Linked DNA regions of Callithrix jacchus. The protein of the gene in region 1 interacts with the protein of each later gene in a pairwise test. Links are inferred from orthologs where the notes say so. Each region holds a gene or a part of one and is shown in the gene's direction. Other genes may lie near its edges.

Evidence for each region. The genes of interacting proteins can lie anywhere in the genome.
Region 2: the proteins of GPR25 (region 1) and VAPB interact in binary tests that used the Homo sapiens proteins (3 or more experiments, as listed by UniProt). The two-hybrid records come from large-scale screens. The link is inferred for Callithrix jacchus from reciprocal best matches to the Homo sapiens genes GPR25 and VAPB.

What each region holds. Positions count from the first base shown.
Region 1 is NC_133520.1:27,882,904-27,890,434, forward strand, and holds GPR25 (putative G-protein coupled receptor 25), read left to right. Parts: upstream 1-3,552; 5' UTR 3,553-3,609; coding exon 3,610-4,740; 3' UTR 4,741-5,406; downstream 5,407-7,531. UniProt on the Homo sapiens protein: Orphan receptor.
Region 2 is NC_133506.1:54,026,778-54,034,044, forward strand, and holds the end of VAPB (vesicle-associated membrane protein-associated protein B/C), read left to right. Parts: intron 1-1,175; coding exon 1,176-1,352; intron 1,353-4,234; coding exon 4,235-4,393; 3' UTR 4,394-5,712; downstream 5,713-7,267. UniProt on the Homo sapiens protein: Endoplasmic reticulum (ER)-anchored protein that mediates the formation of contact sites between the ER and endosomes via interaction with FFAT motif-containing proteins such as STARD3 or WDR44.

The sequences.
Region 1 (7,531 bases):
GAGTCCTTCTGAGGAGTGAAAGAGCAGTAACGTAGAGTTGGTCTTTGCCACTGAAACTGGGCTGGGCACCCCGGGAGGCCAGGCCCAAGGCAGTGTCCCTGGCTCTGACCTTTGCTACTTCCTCCCATCCAGACAAGTTCAGTAAGGCCCACGGACAGCACCCAGGCCTCAGCAGAGAAAATTCAGCATAAGCTGTGGGCCACAGACTTCCCTTGGGTATGAGATGAGGGCCCAGAAAGCAAGTATCTCTGTTTTTTTAAATAAACAACCTACTTCTACTTCCCCTCAACCCCCTTCTTATATTCCCCTTTGGTCTGCTTGCCCCATTCTTTGTTTTCACCTGGCGGTTTCTCTACTGTTCATCTCCCGCTTTCAGGATCACTCATGCTCTCTCAGCCTCAGACTGAGGTGTGCTGGAGGGGTGAAGTCCAGCAACGCTGGGTCTGTCTCTGATGGTCTCCGGGCTCTGGCAGGCAAGCGCTGCCCCTGCCAGCCTTCTAAGGGAGGAGGCTGCAGCCCCCTACTCCACCCCGGATGTGGGCACCACTCACCAGCAACCACATGCCCAGACATTAGAAAAGCAGCTCTGGGGTGGGTCTTCAGGGGAAAACCAGGCCCGGAGGCTGAAATGGCTGTGAAGGGAAGGTCCAGACCATTCATTCCCTGCCCTCTTCCCTACCCACCTTGTAATTGGTGAGGGAGAAAAATTCTTGACAGGAACAGCCTAACCACTGCATACCGACTCTCTGTGAGCTCTAGGACCAATTTCTTTCTTTTCTTTTTTTTTTTTTTTGAGATAGAGCCTCGCTCTTTCATCTAGGCTGCAGTGCAGAGGCTCCATCTCCACTTACTGTAACCTCCGCCTCGTGGGTTCAAGTAATTCCCCTGCCTCAGCTTCCCGAGTAGCTGGGATTACAGTTACTCGCCACCATATCCAGCTCATTTTTGTATTTTTAGTAGAGATGGGTTTTCACCATGTTGGCCAGCCTGGTCTCGAGCTCCTGATCTCAAGTGATCTGCCCATCTCGACCTCCCAAAGTGCTGGGATCACAGGGGTAAGCCATGGCGCCCAGCCTCTAAGACCATTTTCCAAATCCTCCCTGGGATCTCCATGTGCCAGAGGGACCCTGAACAAGGGTGACCTTATGTCCCAGTTTGCCCGAAATAGCCCTGGTTTATGGTCCAAGTTAATTGTGATAGTGCCCCTTTCACTCTCAGAAACATCCTGGTTTACATGGTAAATTATTTCGTTACCCTATCTCAAACCAACATCAAACTGAACACATACACACATGCGCCCCTCTGTGTTCTTGGCAGTTAAGGGGACGGTGTCCATACAGTCCCTAAGCAGAGAAACCTCAGGCTTATCTTTGACTCCTATGTGTGAGACCTGTGATGTTACAATTATCTCTTGAATATATCCTCTCCTTTCTGTCCCCACTGCTCATGATCTATTTCAGACACAAATAATTACAACTTACTGTGGGATCTCCCTGGCTTGAGCCTCTCCCCTCTCCACAGTTCTGCCGGGGATCTTTTCAAAACACAGATTGATGCCTCCTGGCTCCTCATGACTTTTAGATTGAAATCCATATCCCTTCAAGATCCTTTCCTGCTTCATCTCCTTCCCCCTGCCCCTCCTTTCTACCCTGGGCTCTGGCAGACTGCTTGTCCCCTGAAAAGCCCACATTCCTCCTCATTTCGGTATACTTGTTCCCTTTACCCCTCCTCCTAGTCTGATCCTTTCCTCTCTTTTCTGCTGCTCTTATTTGACTTTCGACTCCTTTCTGGGACTGATCTCAAGTGTCACTTCCTAGAAAGCCTTTTCTGATTCAGCCTTCCCATCGGAAATGATCACACCCCACTCCTCTAATCCCTGAGAGTAACTGGCTTGTAACGTTTACTACAGTTTGGACTCTTGCACATTCTGCTTAAGTAACCATCTCTCCTGTCTATGCAACAAATGGCTAAGGTCAAGAATGGCATCTCAGCCAGGTGCGGTGGCTCAAGCCTGTAATCCCAGCACCTTGGGAGGCCGGTGGATCACAAGGTCAAGAGATCGAGACCATCCTGGTCAACATGGTGAAACCCCGTCTCTACTAAAAATACAAAAAATTAGCTGGGCATGGTGGGGAGTACCTGTAATCCCAGCTACTCAGGAGGCTGAGGCAGGAGAATTGCCTGAACCCAGGAGGCGGAGGTTGCGGTGAGCCAAGATTGTGCCATTGTCCTCCAGCCTGGGTAACAAGAGCAAAACTCCAACTCAAAAAAAAAGAATGGCATCTCTTGTAATGCCTGAAACAATGCCTGCTTCATGGAGGAGTTCACTGTTTACAAGTCTGAATCGAACAAAATTGATAATCCACCTCAAATTTTCCACACCAGGTTGCCCAGCACATTAGCCACTCATTCATGGGGACACTGGGGACAGACTCAGAGGGCACATGCACTGTGACATCAGTTCCACCACAATACCTTGTGGAAGGGATATCTGCTAAGAAGAATTCAGATGTAAGCGGCTGTATGCCTCCTTCAGCAGTAAGAGCAAGATTTTCCTCACATAGCCTCTCCTCCTCAGGTCCCACCACCCCCTTCAAGGTGAGACTTCATTCCCCTGCCTTACTCTCAGTTTCCCAGTTCACAAGGGACCTTGCCACCTCCAAGCTCCTGACATATAATTCAGGACAACGAATCTGGTGTTTCATTAAGTGTCATCCTTTGAATTGACCTTATATCTGTGTTTGGCTTAATAGGTAGGTTTTGTAGGATGGGGGAAGACAGGGGAGAGCCAGATGTGAGGTCCCACCCCTTTCCAGCAGGATGATCTGAATACACACCTTCCTCGCTGCCTTAACACACTTCTGCATGGCTTCATGAGGATCTGATTGGGTTAGAGGAGCCACTCTTGGGATGAAGACATTAGCCCCACATCTCAGGACACTTGAGATGCCTTAAGTGCCCAGGCAAGCTCCCCCACCCACCCAGATCTGCTGTGTCCTGGTAGTGGACTCTTTCCTAGGAGACAGGTGTTTTGGGGGTGGGGTGTGCCTTAGGCTTCATACTCTTATAAAATTCCTGGGCTCTGTCTTCTCACCTCTAAGAGAAAACAACAGCCGGTGGGTGCCGGTGGGTGCAGGTGGGAAGGGGGCGAAGTGGAGGCTGAGAAGAGATTAGGGCCCTCGGGCACCCACCACCTCTTGCAACCCAACCCTGAGACAGTGGGGCAAGTATCCGGATTTCATGAACAAAGAAAGTGAACAACTAATAGAGGCATGGGCCGTGCTCCTACTGGGAGGCGGGGCAGGTCTCCCAGCCCTGAGGACTTTACTCCCCAGACTTAGTTGTGAAGCCCCTTCTGCCTGTCCCTGCCCTTACCCCTTGGGTCAGCCCCAAATCCGAGGCCACTATCTCTCCCACAGGAGCCTGCCCCTCCCAACCCACCCCCTCCTCCCTCCCCTCTTTCCTGCCCACCCATTTGCCTCGGTCTGGGGTGGCAGGAAGGGAGGTGCTGGGCCAGGGCGGGCGTGAAGAGCAACCCCCCCACCCCTGCTCAGAGCTGCTGCCGCCTGCGCCCAGGACTGCATCCCGCGCAGGCCTGGTGGCCAGGCCATGGCCCCCACCGAGCCCTGGAGCACCAGCCCGGCGTCCGCGCCCTGGTACTACTCGGGGTTGGACGACCTGGAGGAGCTGGAGCTGTGTCCGGCCGGGGACCTGCCCTACGGCTACGTCTACATCCCTGCGCTCTACCTGGCTGCCTTCGCCGTGGGCCTGCTGGGCAACGCCTTGGTGGTGTGGCTGCTGGCCGGGCGCCGCGGCCCGCGGCGGCTGGTGGACACCTTCGTGCTGCACCTGGCGGCCGCGGACCTGGGCTTCGTGCTCACGCTGCCACTGTGGGCCGCAGCGGTGGCGCTCGGCGGCCGCTGGCCTTTCGGAGAGGGCCTCTGCAAGCTCAGCAGCTTCGCGCTGGCGGGCACGCGCTGTGCGGGAGCGCTGCTGCTGGCGGGCATGAGCGTGGACCGCTACCTGGCCGTGGTGAAGCTGCTCGAGGCGCGGCCGCTGCGCACCCCGCGCTGCGCGCTGGCCTCGTGCTGCGGCGTCTGGGCTGTGGCGCTGCTGGCCGGCCTGCCCTCCCTGTTCTACCGGGGGCTGCAGCCCCTGCCCGGGGGCCAGGGCAGCCAGTGCGGGGAGGAGCCCTCCCACGCCTTCCAGGGCCTCAGCCTGCTGCTGCTGCTGCTCACCTTCGTGCTGCCCCTGGTCGTCACCCTCTTCTGCTACTGCCGCATCTCGCGTCGCCTGCGCCGGCCGCCGCACGTGGGGCGCGCCCGGAGGAACTCGCTGCGCATCATCTTCGCCATCGAGAGCACGTTCGTGGGCTCCTGGCTGCCCTTCAGCGCCCTGCGGGCCGTCTTCCACCTGGCGCGTCTGGAGGCGCTGCCGCTGCCGTGCCCCCTGCTGCTGGCGCTGCGCTGGGGCCTCACCATCGCCACCTGCCTGGCCTTCGTCAACAGCTGCGCCAACCCGCTCATCTACCTCCTGCTGGACCGCTCGTTCCGAGCCCGGGCGCGGGACGAGGCCTGCGGGCGCACCGGCCTCCTGGCGCGAAGGATCAGCTCGGCCTCCTCGCTCTCCAGGGACGACAGTTCGGTGTTCTGGGGCCGAGCCCAGGCCGCGAACACTGCTTCGGCCTCCTTCCTGGTGGCTGCCCCGGGCCGCTGGAGGTGGGCCGCAGTGGAGCAATGAGAAGCGGGGAGAGGCCCCGGGAGGGGGCCTGAGCTCCCCAGACGCGCCTGTCCTGGCGTCAGCAAGCCGCTCCGGCCGGCCTCGCATGGCCTCGCGCGCTGCCTGGACTCCCACGGTTTCCTCCATCAGCTTCCCCAGAACCTTCGAGCGACTGAACTTCCCTAAACCAGGCTGCTGAGGCTAGCTGTCCCTCTCAGCCTGCAGGGCACCTGAGCTAATTTTGCCCCCTCCAAGATAGGTGTTATGAGATGGAGCAGGCAGCAACTCAGAGGCCCGCAGATTCACCAAGTAGACAGAAGGGAAGTGAGTTTCCTTCTCTGCCCCATCGGGAAGAGCACCGACCAGAATATCTAACCCAGACCCCCAAACACCACTCTTGTTCTGGCTGTGCTTTCTCCCTCCCACAATAAACTTTGCTTTCAGAGAAATACCTTCTCCAAGTCAGACCCTCTGCCTGTCTCTCTCTAAACCCTGGAGTTGAATCTGGTGACACTTCTCCCCCTATGCGGCCGCAGGACTCACCCTGGAAGCTGTTCTGGTCCTTCACTCTGGACAGAAGATCCTGAAGTCTCTCACCAGGTGTTCAGATTCTCCATCATTCAACCGGGGACCCCAAAATCTTCTCTGTGAATTCACCTTTGTCAATAAACACTCTTGCTAGCCCTGTCTTGACAACCGTCTTTACTGGAGCAGTGGGAGTGAAATGCGTGTCAGGGGGCGGGTCGCACACTGGGTGAGACAAAACTCAACACAGTAGTTGAGGTTGACCTCAGGATGCTGAGGATTTGGGGCAATGTCTGGAACCATGAGAGCCGGCTGCATTCTGCAGGTGTAGTAATCCCACAGGAGGCAGCAAATCATTTATTCTTATTTTTAAGGACATTTCACATTTTGAAAGTTACAGAAAGAAAATGTATTTGTTTAGGGCGTCTGCCAGCCAGGTGTCACCTCCAAGAGAAGATGTGTCATTTTTTTCAAATATATACCAGGCCTTTTTTTTCTGTCTTTTTTCAGAACTTCCAGTACAAATTTTGGGGATTCACCATTTTCTGACTCTGGTTTCTCCTTTGAGGTTTCTGTAGGGTTTGGAAATTCACTGTTTATACTTTTGATTTAAGAGGATTTGGCCAGCCGGGCACCATGGCTTACACCTGTAATCCCAGCACTTTGGGAAGCCGAGGTGGGCAGATCACGAGGTTAAGAGATCAAGACCATCTTGGCCAACATGGTGAAACCCCATCTCTATTAAAAATACAAAAATTAGCTGGGCGTGGTGATGCTCGCCTGTAGTCCCAGCTACTGGGGAGGCTGAGGCAGGAGAATCACTTGAACCCAGGAAACGGAGGTTGCAGTGAGCCAAGTGGCACCACTGCACTCCAACCTGGCAACAAAGTGAGATTCCATATCAAAAAAAAAAAAAAAAAAAACAAGGCATATTTGGCCTCAAGACGTTTCAGTCAGTGCACATCCTAGCCAGATCCCCACAGGCCAGTCATAATGTCGCAAGCACTGACGGAAGGAGTGGCTATGCACGCAAATCACCACCTCAGTGCTGAGTTGGGTTTGAAGCCTGGCATTCTGCGGCAGGCTATCCATCCCATCCCCTCATTGAGTACCCCTGCATTCTCTTCAGCATTTGGAGCTGCTGGATTAGAGCAGATTGAACATCACACCCCACTTTGACCCCACCTGTCATCTCTCCTAGGTGAGCCTGCTAAAAAGTGGGTCTCTGCATGTTCCTCCCATACACTCCAAGAGAGGCAAGACTTGCAGCCTGTGAGGCCACCTGTGCCAGCAGGACACATTTCAGGGGCTTTGGTGTTTGAGAGCTTGGTTAAGTCTTGGCCCTTCCTATCCTCACTATTGCTCTCTGAGGTAAGAAATCATTTTTTCACCGGGCTGAGACCCCAGAATTTCCAGGGCAGGGAAGCTGATTCTCATCTGGGTGTGTGTGTGACAAGATCTCAGCGCACCGAGGCAGCACTTCTCTAGGGTATTGGGACTGAGTCCCCACCTCCACCTCTGCCAGGTTGCTGCTTCTGACTTACTGACGGTTGAGTTCCCTGAAAAAATAGGAAGAAAGGCTTCTCCATGCCCTGGTGGGTTTTTGGCTCCCCTCCTGCAGTAGCTATTGAAACTCAGCATTCCCCTCCTGCTGTGGAACTCTGTGCAATGTGGAGAGACAGTCTCCACCCTTTGTTTGAGTAGATCATGGAACTGATCTACCATGTGTCCCTTGGAAATGTTCCCTTAAATTCAGACAAAAATGAAGGAGGACCAGTGAGCTCCTGTCTCCCACTGGGGAAGATGAGGCTCAGATTCAGCAAGGAACTGGTTAAGTGAGCATTCCCACATATTGAGTGGGAGTAGATTCCTTTAAGAAGCAATTGTCAATCTTTACCAAGAGCTTTAGAACTTCTCATATCTTATTTCTTTAAAATGCTTATACCCTTTGGCCCCGTAATTTTACTTCTACCACTCTCTCCTTATTACAACAGTACTAAATTTAAACGTTATGCACTGAGTTATAGAAGTTTTTAAAGAGTTAAACCTGAAAGGAAACAACTTTAATATCTAACAATAGTGTATCGTCTTTGTTAAGATGAAGACTATTATGCAAATTTAAGATGTTCTGTGGGCCCCACAGGGTCATGGGGTGTCCCTTATGCTGTGCTGAGCTGCAGGATCTGAGAAGTAAAGAGACAGGACACCGAAGAACTGGTGAAAAGCATCTGGACTCGGGGGGCCACGCCACTTATGAGCAGAGTTAGGCCTCGAACGCGCAGAAGCG
Region 2 (7,267 bases), on another chromosome or scaffold:
GGAGCCCCATCCTCTAGGCTGTCTGCTCATGGTCTCTTTCATGGTCCTCACTTGTGACCAGTTGAAGAAAGGAGACTGTAACTGAAATGCTCATTTGGGCTTCCCTTCAGCATAGTCAGAAACATTTTAATTGTCATAAAAACACCAAAACTGAAAACATGCAGCATATGAAACTACCCTAGAGGTTAATAGCTGGAGTTGGGAATAGCAGTGTCCCAAAACGTTCTGTTAACATCATCCATGTTGATCTGCAGGGATGTTGTTGATTTGTGTCAAACTACCTGGTATTTTCTTTCTGCTCAGTCACTTACCACTATCATTACCCTGTTTCTTTAAGTGGTCATTTTTCCCTCTTCCCAGTGTACAGCCTGTCACAGGAAGGTCAGTTTGGAAGTTGTGAAACCTGTATTCTGGCCTCAGCTCTGTGATAGGTTGACTCTGTAGCCTGGGACCTTGCCTTACAGGGCCCACTCTTCTCATCTGGAAAATGATGGGTAGAGCTAGATTCCTGGTTTTCAGTTTGCTACCCAGGTCAGTGATCCTTAGTTACTCTTTCCCTGACAAATTTCATGTTCCCATGCCCTCCCTCTACTGACTGGCTCTCATCCCAGTAAATCTCAAGAAGGGGCTCATAGCTCAGTCTTGGCAGGGGACATGAGGGGAGTATGTAGCTTCTCAAGATTGAAACACTGCAGACACTGAGCTTGTTTCATCTTCATCCCAGCTTCCAAATGCTAAGTTGGTAAAATAAATCGCCCTCGGCGTAAATGCTCTCCCAAGCCTCCTATCCCCACCAAGGCAATCTTAGGGATGTTCACATCTTTATGGTGACAGTAATTTGTGGCTAATAATTCCTGAGCTTGCACAATTACAGTATGCTAAGTTTTGCATGACAGGAATTTGATAGTGCAACATACACAGCCCCTTTTCTCTTTCTTTGAAGTATTAGTCTCAGCCGAACTTCATTATTTTCTCTTATCCATAATTTCTAGAGCCCAGTTGCTTTAGATTATTAAGATACTAGATAAAGTGATCCATTTGAAAAGTAAATGTGACATTTTACAATGTGGATAAAATGCTACTACATTTGGTGTTTGCTGAGAACTACTTTGCATAAAAAAGTCTCCTTTATTACATGGTTGGTGACACTTAGGCTTTCATTTATTTTTTAACAGCATGATGTAGAAATAAATAAAATTATATCCACAACTGCATCAAAGACAGAAACACCAACAGTGTCTAAGTCTCTGAGTTCTTCTTTGGATGACGCCGAAGTTAAGAAGGTTATGGAAGAATGTAAGAGGCTGCAAGGTGAAGTTCAGAGGCTACGGGAGGAGAACAAGCAGTTCAAGGTAATAGTTTATTTTCTGGTAAGCTACAGAGAACAAGGGCGTTTTCACTAGGATCTTGGATGAGGAAGTTGATGAACCAGTAAATATATAGATTTATTTTTGCTTTTGGCATTTGTCTATCTTTTTTCTCCCCGGGAAGAAATTTCCATAGCTTTCATCAGATTCTCAAAAGGGTCCTTGGATCTGCCTAAATTAAGAGCCACTGTCCCTTGATCAGCAGTTCTCAACTGTTTAAGCCCTTGTCCCCTTTAAAAAAAAAAAACAAAAATCTCACACTCTCCATTAGTGTAAATTGAAAATAAATGTTGAGACCAAAATAGCAGTTTTTATTTTGAATATGCATTTTTAAACCCCATGCCATCCCCATTCACTTGAGTGAGAATTTCTTTTTTTCAGAGGGTAAATACTGACCTATACTCTGTTTTAATGCAGGTATAGTTCTGATTTTAGAAGACTCGAAATAGGTCTGGGCAGTCGTGGCTCATCACACTGTTGATTGGTGTCATGATGAGATTGGAGGTGGGATGCTGCACAGTGGATACGAGGTGGGGATTATGGAAGGGAAACCTGAGCCTCTAGCTCGTTGACGAGGCAGTTGGCATTGGCAGTGGAAGGTTGAATTGTACTGAGTGGTGAAGGGGTGCTTCTTTTGGCTTAGAGGCCTGTAGTGGGGTGGAAGTTGCTCTCATCCAATTTGAAACAACTCTGAATCTCTGCTGGTCACAGCATCTCTTAGGCCTTTGTTTGCTAAACACCTCTAAGGCCCCTTTCAGCTTTAAAAGTATGAGTTTGTGTTAGACATGGTATTGAAGAGAACATTTCTGAACATCAGATTATAGAAACTTTTGTTGCAGCTTACATTTTTAGGCCTTTTCCTTAATCTTGATCATGTCACCCAAGCATGTAAATAGGCTTTCATTCTTAAAGTACCCTACAGCCAGGTACGTACAATAAATTCATATATTTTGACTTTTCCTTCTCTTTTATTCTGACAATGAGATAGATTTAGGAGAACTGACAACATTCAGGAAATGGTATGCAGTATCATCTTCCTTTGCAGTGATCTTGATTTGGCTCAATCAGTAAGTTCTTCTGTGTGGAGTAAATTGTGAAGCTGACACTACTTTTTGGCTAAAAATCTAAGCTATACCTAAAGCTTCTCCTTGGGTGTATTTCTCTTCAGAAACAGAGTTCTGTGCTGTTTAAAGTGATAAATAGGTAGAAATAGCTTCTATATAAACCCAATAAAATAAATGCTGTAGTTTGCTGTGCCCATTTTTTTTTTTTAAGCCAGTCGAACACACCAGTTGTTTATCATTGTGCAGTGATACTGGCCATGCCCCAAGAGCAGAATATCCTCAAAATGTTATCAGACCAATCTTGACATTAGAAGATTCTTTATCTTGCCAAATGCTGCTTTTTGTTTTGTGTTGGTTTATTCTGTCATCTCTCCAGCAAATTTACTGAGGGTCTAATATGTGCATGGCACTGTGGATTCAAACATGAACAGTTCCTGCCCTTGGGGAGCTCTCTGGTGATGGGATAGCAGGGAGAGACATAGACAGAAATGATTACAAGCCAGTGTGATAAATGTCCCACAGAGATAGCAACAAATTGCAAGGAGAGTCAGCCCCATGGGACTCATCTGCCTCAGGACCTGCTAGGTATTTGGGTGGTTGGGAGAGAATGGAAGGAAATAAAGAAAAGAAAGTATGGCTGGTGTGTGGGGTTTAGGGGTGAGTAGATGAGGTGATTAGCAAGAGATCTGGCAGCTGTGATAAGTCTGGGCCAGAATAGAAATGGCCTTGATGCGTGTCCCTCTTCAGGGATGTGGACATGGCTTTGAGGGCATGGAAGTGGCATCGTAGATCTACATAGTAACTTGCAGATTCTTAGGAAAGTGCAAGGCAGTTGTGGCAGTGGAGGTGAAGGAAGAAAACATTTTTCATTTCTTACATATTTATGTAGTTTGGGGTCAAGGGGAGGGTGGGGAATATGGTCAAGTATCTTTATATGTATGAAAAAGAATGTTGTTTTTTCAACAATGAATCTATGCATTAAGTAGAAACTGTTTGAGATGAGTGTACCAAGGCCAGCCACATTTTAATATTCCAAATATCATTTGATCCAGCAGTCTGTTTGTAACTCATCAGGTACTAGCTATGTACAGAGTACAGAGCTCTTCATTTGACAGCTTCCAGATGTCCTACTTTTAGATTCTTTTTTTTTGGTATGGAATCTCACTGTGTTGCCCCAGGCAGGCTCATTTTTGTATTTTTAATAAAAGTGGGGTTTCACCATGTTGACTAGGTCGGTCTCGAACTCTTGAGCTCTGGTGATCTACGCGCCTCAACCTCCCAAAGCGTTGGGATCACAGGCATGAGCCATTGTGCCCAGCTGACTTTGTAGATTCTTATGATTTGTATATATATTTATGTCTTAGGAAATGCCTGTGATTTTAAAAATTGATGATGATTTGATCAAGGAAGCCTATTCATTAGAGGCAGAAGGGACAGAGGTTGGGGTTGAAGAAAAGCATCTGCAGACGTGGCCATGAGGGTGGGTGGGGCTGAGGGTGCAAAGGGCCTCGTCGACCCCATTTAAAAGCTTTTTTCTGTAAATCATGGGAAACCAAGGAGCACCCTGCTTAGATTTGTCAGCATCAAGTGGAATGTATGAAAGAAAAGAGGGGACTGTTTTCTCAGTGGCTTCAGGCTAGTGCCTTCCGCTCTGTAGCCTGCAGTTTCTCCATATGCAAAATGCGGTGGACCGTATCATGTCCTCCAACACTGGGCATAAACAGCCCATCCTGCTAAGCTGTACAGTTGACTCCCCTTTCTGGTGCCTTGGATTGTCTTTGAAATGTGCATTTGCTCCTCTAGGAAGAAGATGGACTTCGGATGAGGAAGACAGTGCAGAGCAACAGCCCCATTTCCATGTTAGCCCCAACTGGGAAGGAAGAAGGCCTTAGCACCCGGCTCTTGGCTCTGGTGGTCTTATTCTTTATCGTTGGTGTAATTATTGGGAAGATTGCCTTGTAGAGGTAGCATGCACAGGATGGTAAATTGGATTGATGGATCCACCATATCATGGGATTTAAATTTATCATAACCATGTGTAAAAACAAATTAATGTATGATGACATCTCACAGGTCTTGCCTTTAAATTACCCCTCCCTGCACACACATACACAAATACACACACACAAATATAATATAACGATCTTTTAGAAAGTTAAAAATGTATAGTAAATGATTTGGGGGGGGGGGAAGAATGATCTTTATTAATGATGAGGGAAACCATGAGTAATGCCACAATGGCATAGTGTAAACGTCATCTTAAACATTGGTAGGCCTTGGTACGTGATGCTGGATTACCTCTCTTAAAACAAGACACTCTTCCTCGCCTGTTGGTGCTGGCCAGTGGAGAGCTGGAGCCCAGCGTGGTGGGGAGTGCGGTCAGCTCCACACAGTAGTCCCCACGTGGCGCACTCCTGCCCCAGGCTGCTTTCCGTGTCTTCAGTTCTATCCAAGCCATCAGCTCCTTGGGACTGATGAACAGAGTCAGAAGCCCAAAGGAATTGCACTGTGGCAGCATCAGATGTACCCATCTTGAGTGAGAGGCGTGTGTTGACTGATTGACCCAGTGCTTTGGAAATATATGGCAATGCTTTGTTCTCTTAAAGGGACCAAGCTAAATTTTTATTGGTTCATGTAGTGAAGTTGTACTGTTATTCAGAGATGTTTAATGCATACTTAACTTATTTAATGTATTTCATCTCATGTTTTCTTATTGTCACAAGAGTACAGTTAATGCTGTGTGCTGCCGAACTCTAGTGGGTGAACTGGTATTGCTGCTGGAGAACTGTGGGTTCCTCTGTCTCTGGAGAGCCTGGTCATGTGGAGGTGGGGTTTATTGCAATGTTGGAGAAGAGCTTCCAGGAAGTGTTTTTCTGGGTCAGTAAATAACAACTGTCATTGGGAGGGAAATTCTCAGTAGTGACAGTCAATTCTATGTTACCTTTTTAAATGAAGAGTACTCAAGTCTTCTAGATTGTTCTTGTACCACCTCTCAACCGTTACTTATACTTCCAGCACCCAGGTTCAAGTCTGATCCTGACCTCCCCTTGGGGCCCTAGCTTGGAGTCAGGGCGAATGGATCAGGCTGCAGAGAGTTAGAAGCGAGGGCGCCAGCAGTTAGGGGTGGGAGCAGTGGGAAAGAGACTGTTCAGCGAATCCATCTAGTACCTAGTTGAGAGTTTGACTGTGAATTAATTTTATGCCATAAAAGACCAATCCAGTTCTGTTTGACTATGTAGTATCTTGAAAAGAAAAATTATAATAAAGCCCCAAAATTAAGAGTTCTTTTGTCATTTTGTCACATTTGCTGTGTGTGGGGAATTATTTTATCGTTTTTATTATTTTGCCATTGGAAGGTTGATTTTAAAATGAGCCTTATTTAATCAAGAAATAAGAAATACTTATTTAATGATTTAACTATATGTGTGTGAGAGTGTGTGTGTGTGTGTGTGTAGTTTTTGGTTGTTTTCAACTGACAGTATGAAAAATAAAACTGCTGAATATTTAAGCACCTGGTCACCCTTGGCCTTCCATTGCTTTGACCTTCAGTAAAAAGCCTCTCTGCTAGGTCAGGGAACCATGCCGTTGAGACTAGTGACAGGCATGCTGGGTACAGTCCCACTCTGTGCACAGGCTTGAGAGGACAAGTTCATCAGAACAAAGGCAGCCCTTAGAAGTCACATACATTGAGCCACATTGCTCCTAAGCCTGGCTCTGTCAAGTTGGGTCAAGGCTCTTAAAACTGGAGAAGTGGAAGTCTGTGGTTGGTCTGAGTAACTTCCTATCTTCATGAAAAATGTTCACTTTAAATCCCAGGTACTCACAGAAGTGGTGAGCAGACCTAGTTCTTACCCAGTCACCCATGGATTGCGTTGAGTATGCAGACAGGAGGCCACCCCAGTATGAATTCATCTCCAGCATTTTTCCCACGTGCACCCCCGTGGGAGTGAAAAGACCGAGCTGTAAGACAGGTGCCTTCTGCCACTTAATTTTCCAGAGGGGACTGACATTTGCTAATTGGAGGTGCTGCAGCCGGTTAAGTGTTTCTGTAGCTTCCAGGCCCTCATGTCCTTGATAGGAGAGTGCTTAGATGGCCCCTAGCAGTGCCTAGGTGTGCAGTACAGCCCCACTACATTAGAGCAGGGCTCTATTTATTTTTAAAGGATATGGCCTTGTGTTCTGATAAAACTTTATTCACAAAAACAGCCAGGTCATGGGATTTGGCCTGTGAGTCTGTGACAGTTCCTGAAAAGAATTATCTGGGCAACTACTCTGTTTTAGACCTTTGAACATGATTTAAGAATTTTGTGTACATCTAGGAGAAGGTGTTCAACTTCTCAGAGGATGTGGGTATTTTGGTTGCGGCTAATCATCCTTTGAAGTCTCTCTTCTTATAGAGGTTAGGACTTGGTGAACATGTTTGTGGGGCTTTTGACTGAATGGCAGAAGGAAACGCTTCAGGAAGAGAAGCAGGCGAGTAGTGGGAGGTTGGTTATTTCTCAGTCATCCTGGCAGCCAAAAATGTGCCAGGAAAAGAAAGAATGTGGAGCAGGCACGGCTCTGGAGAACTTGGAGATGCATGCACATTTAGGGTGTCTTTCCTGGAATTACATAATGAAAAAAAGAGAGAGGAAGGCAAAGAGAAGGTGAATATGGGGACTGTCACAAAAGCCTTCCCTGCCCCAAGGTTAAGAGTCAGATAATCGGTATGAAACATGGAAAGAGCGAGGCTGGGTAAGGTGCCACCGGGCAGTGTGCATGGGGGAGCTGCAGCCAGGCTGCCCTCCACTCTGCTCCTGCAGTTACTGGCTCCACGGCACCTCAGAGAGGATGGCC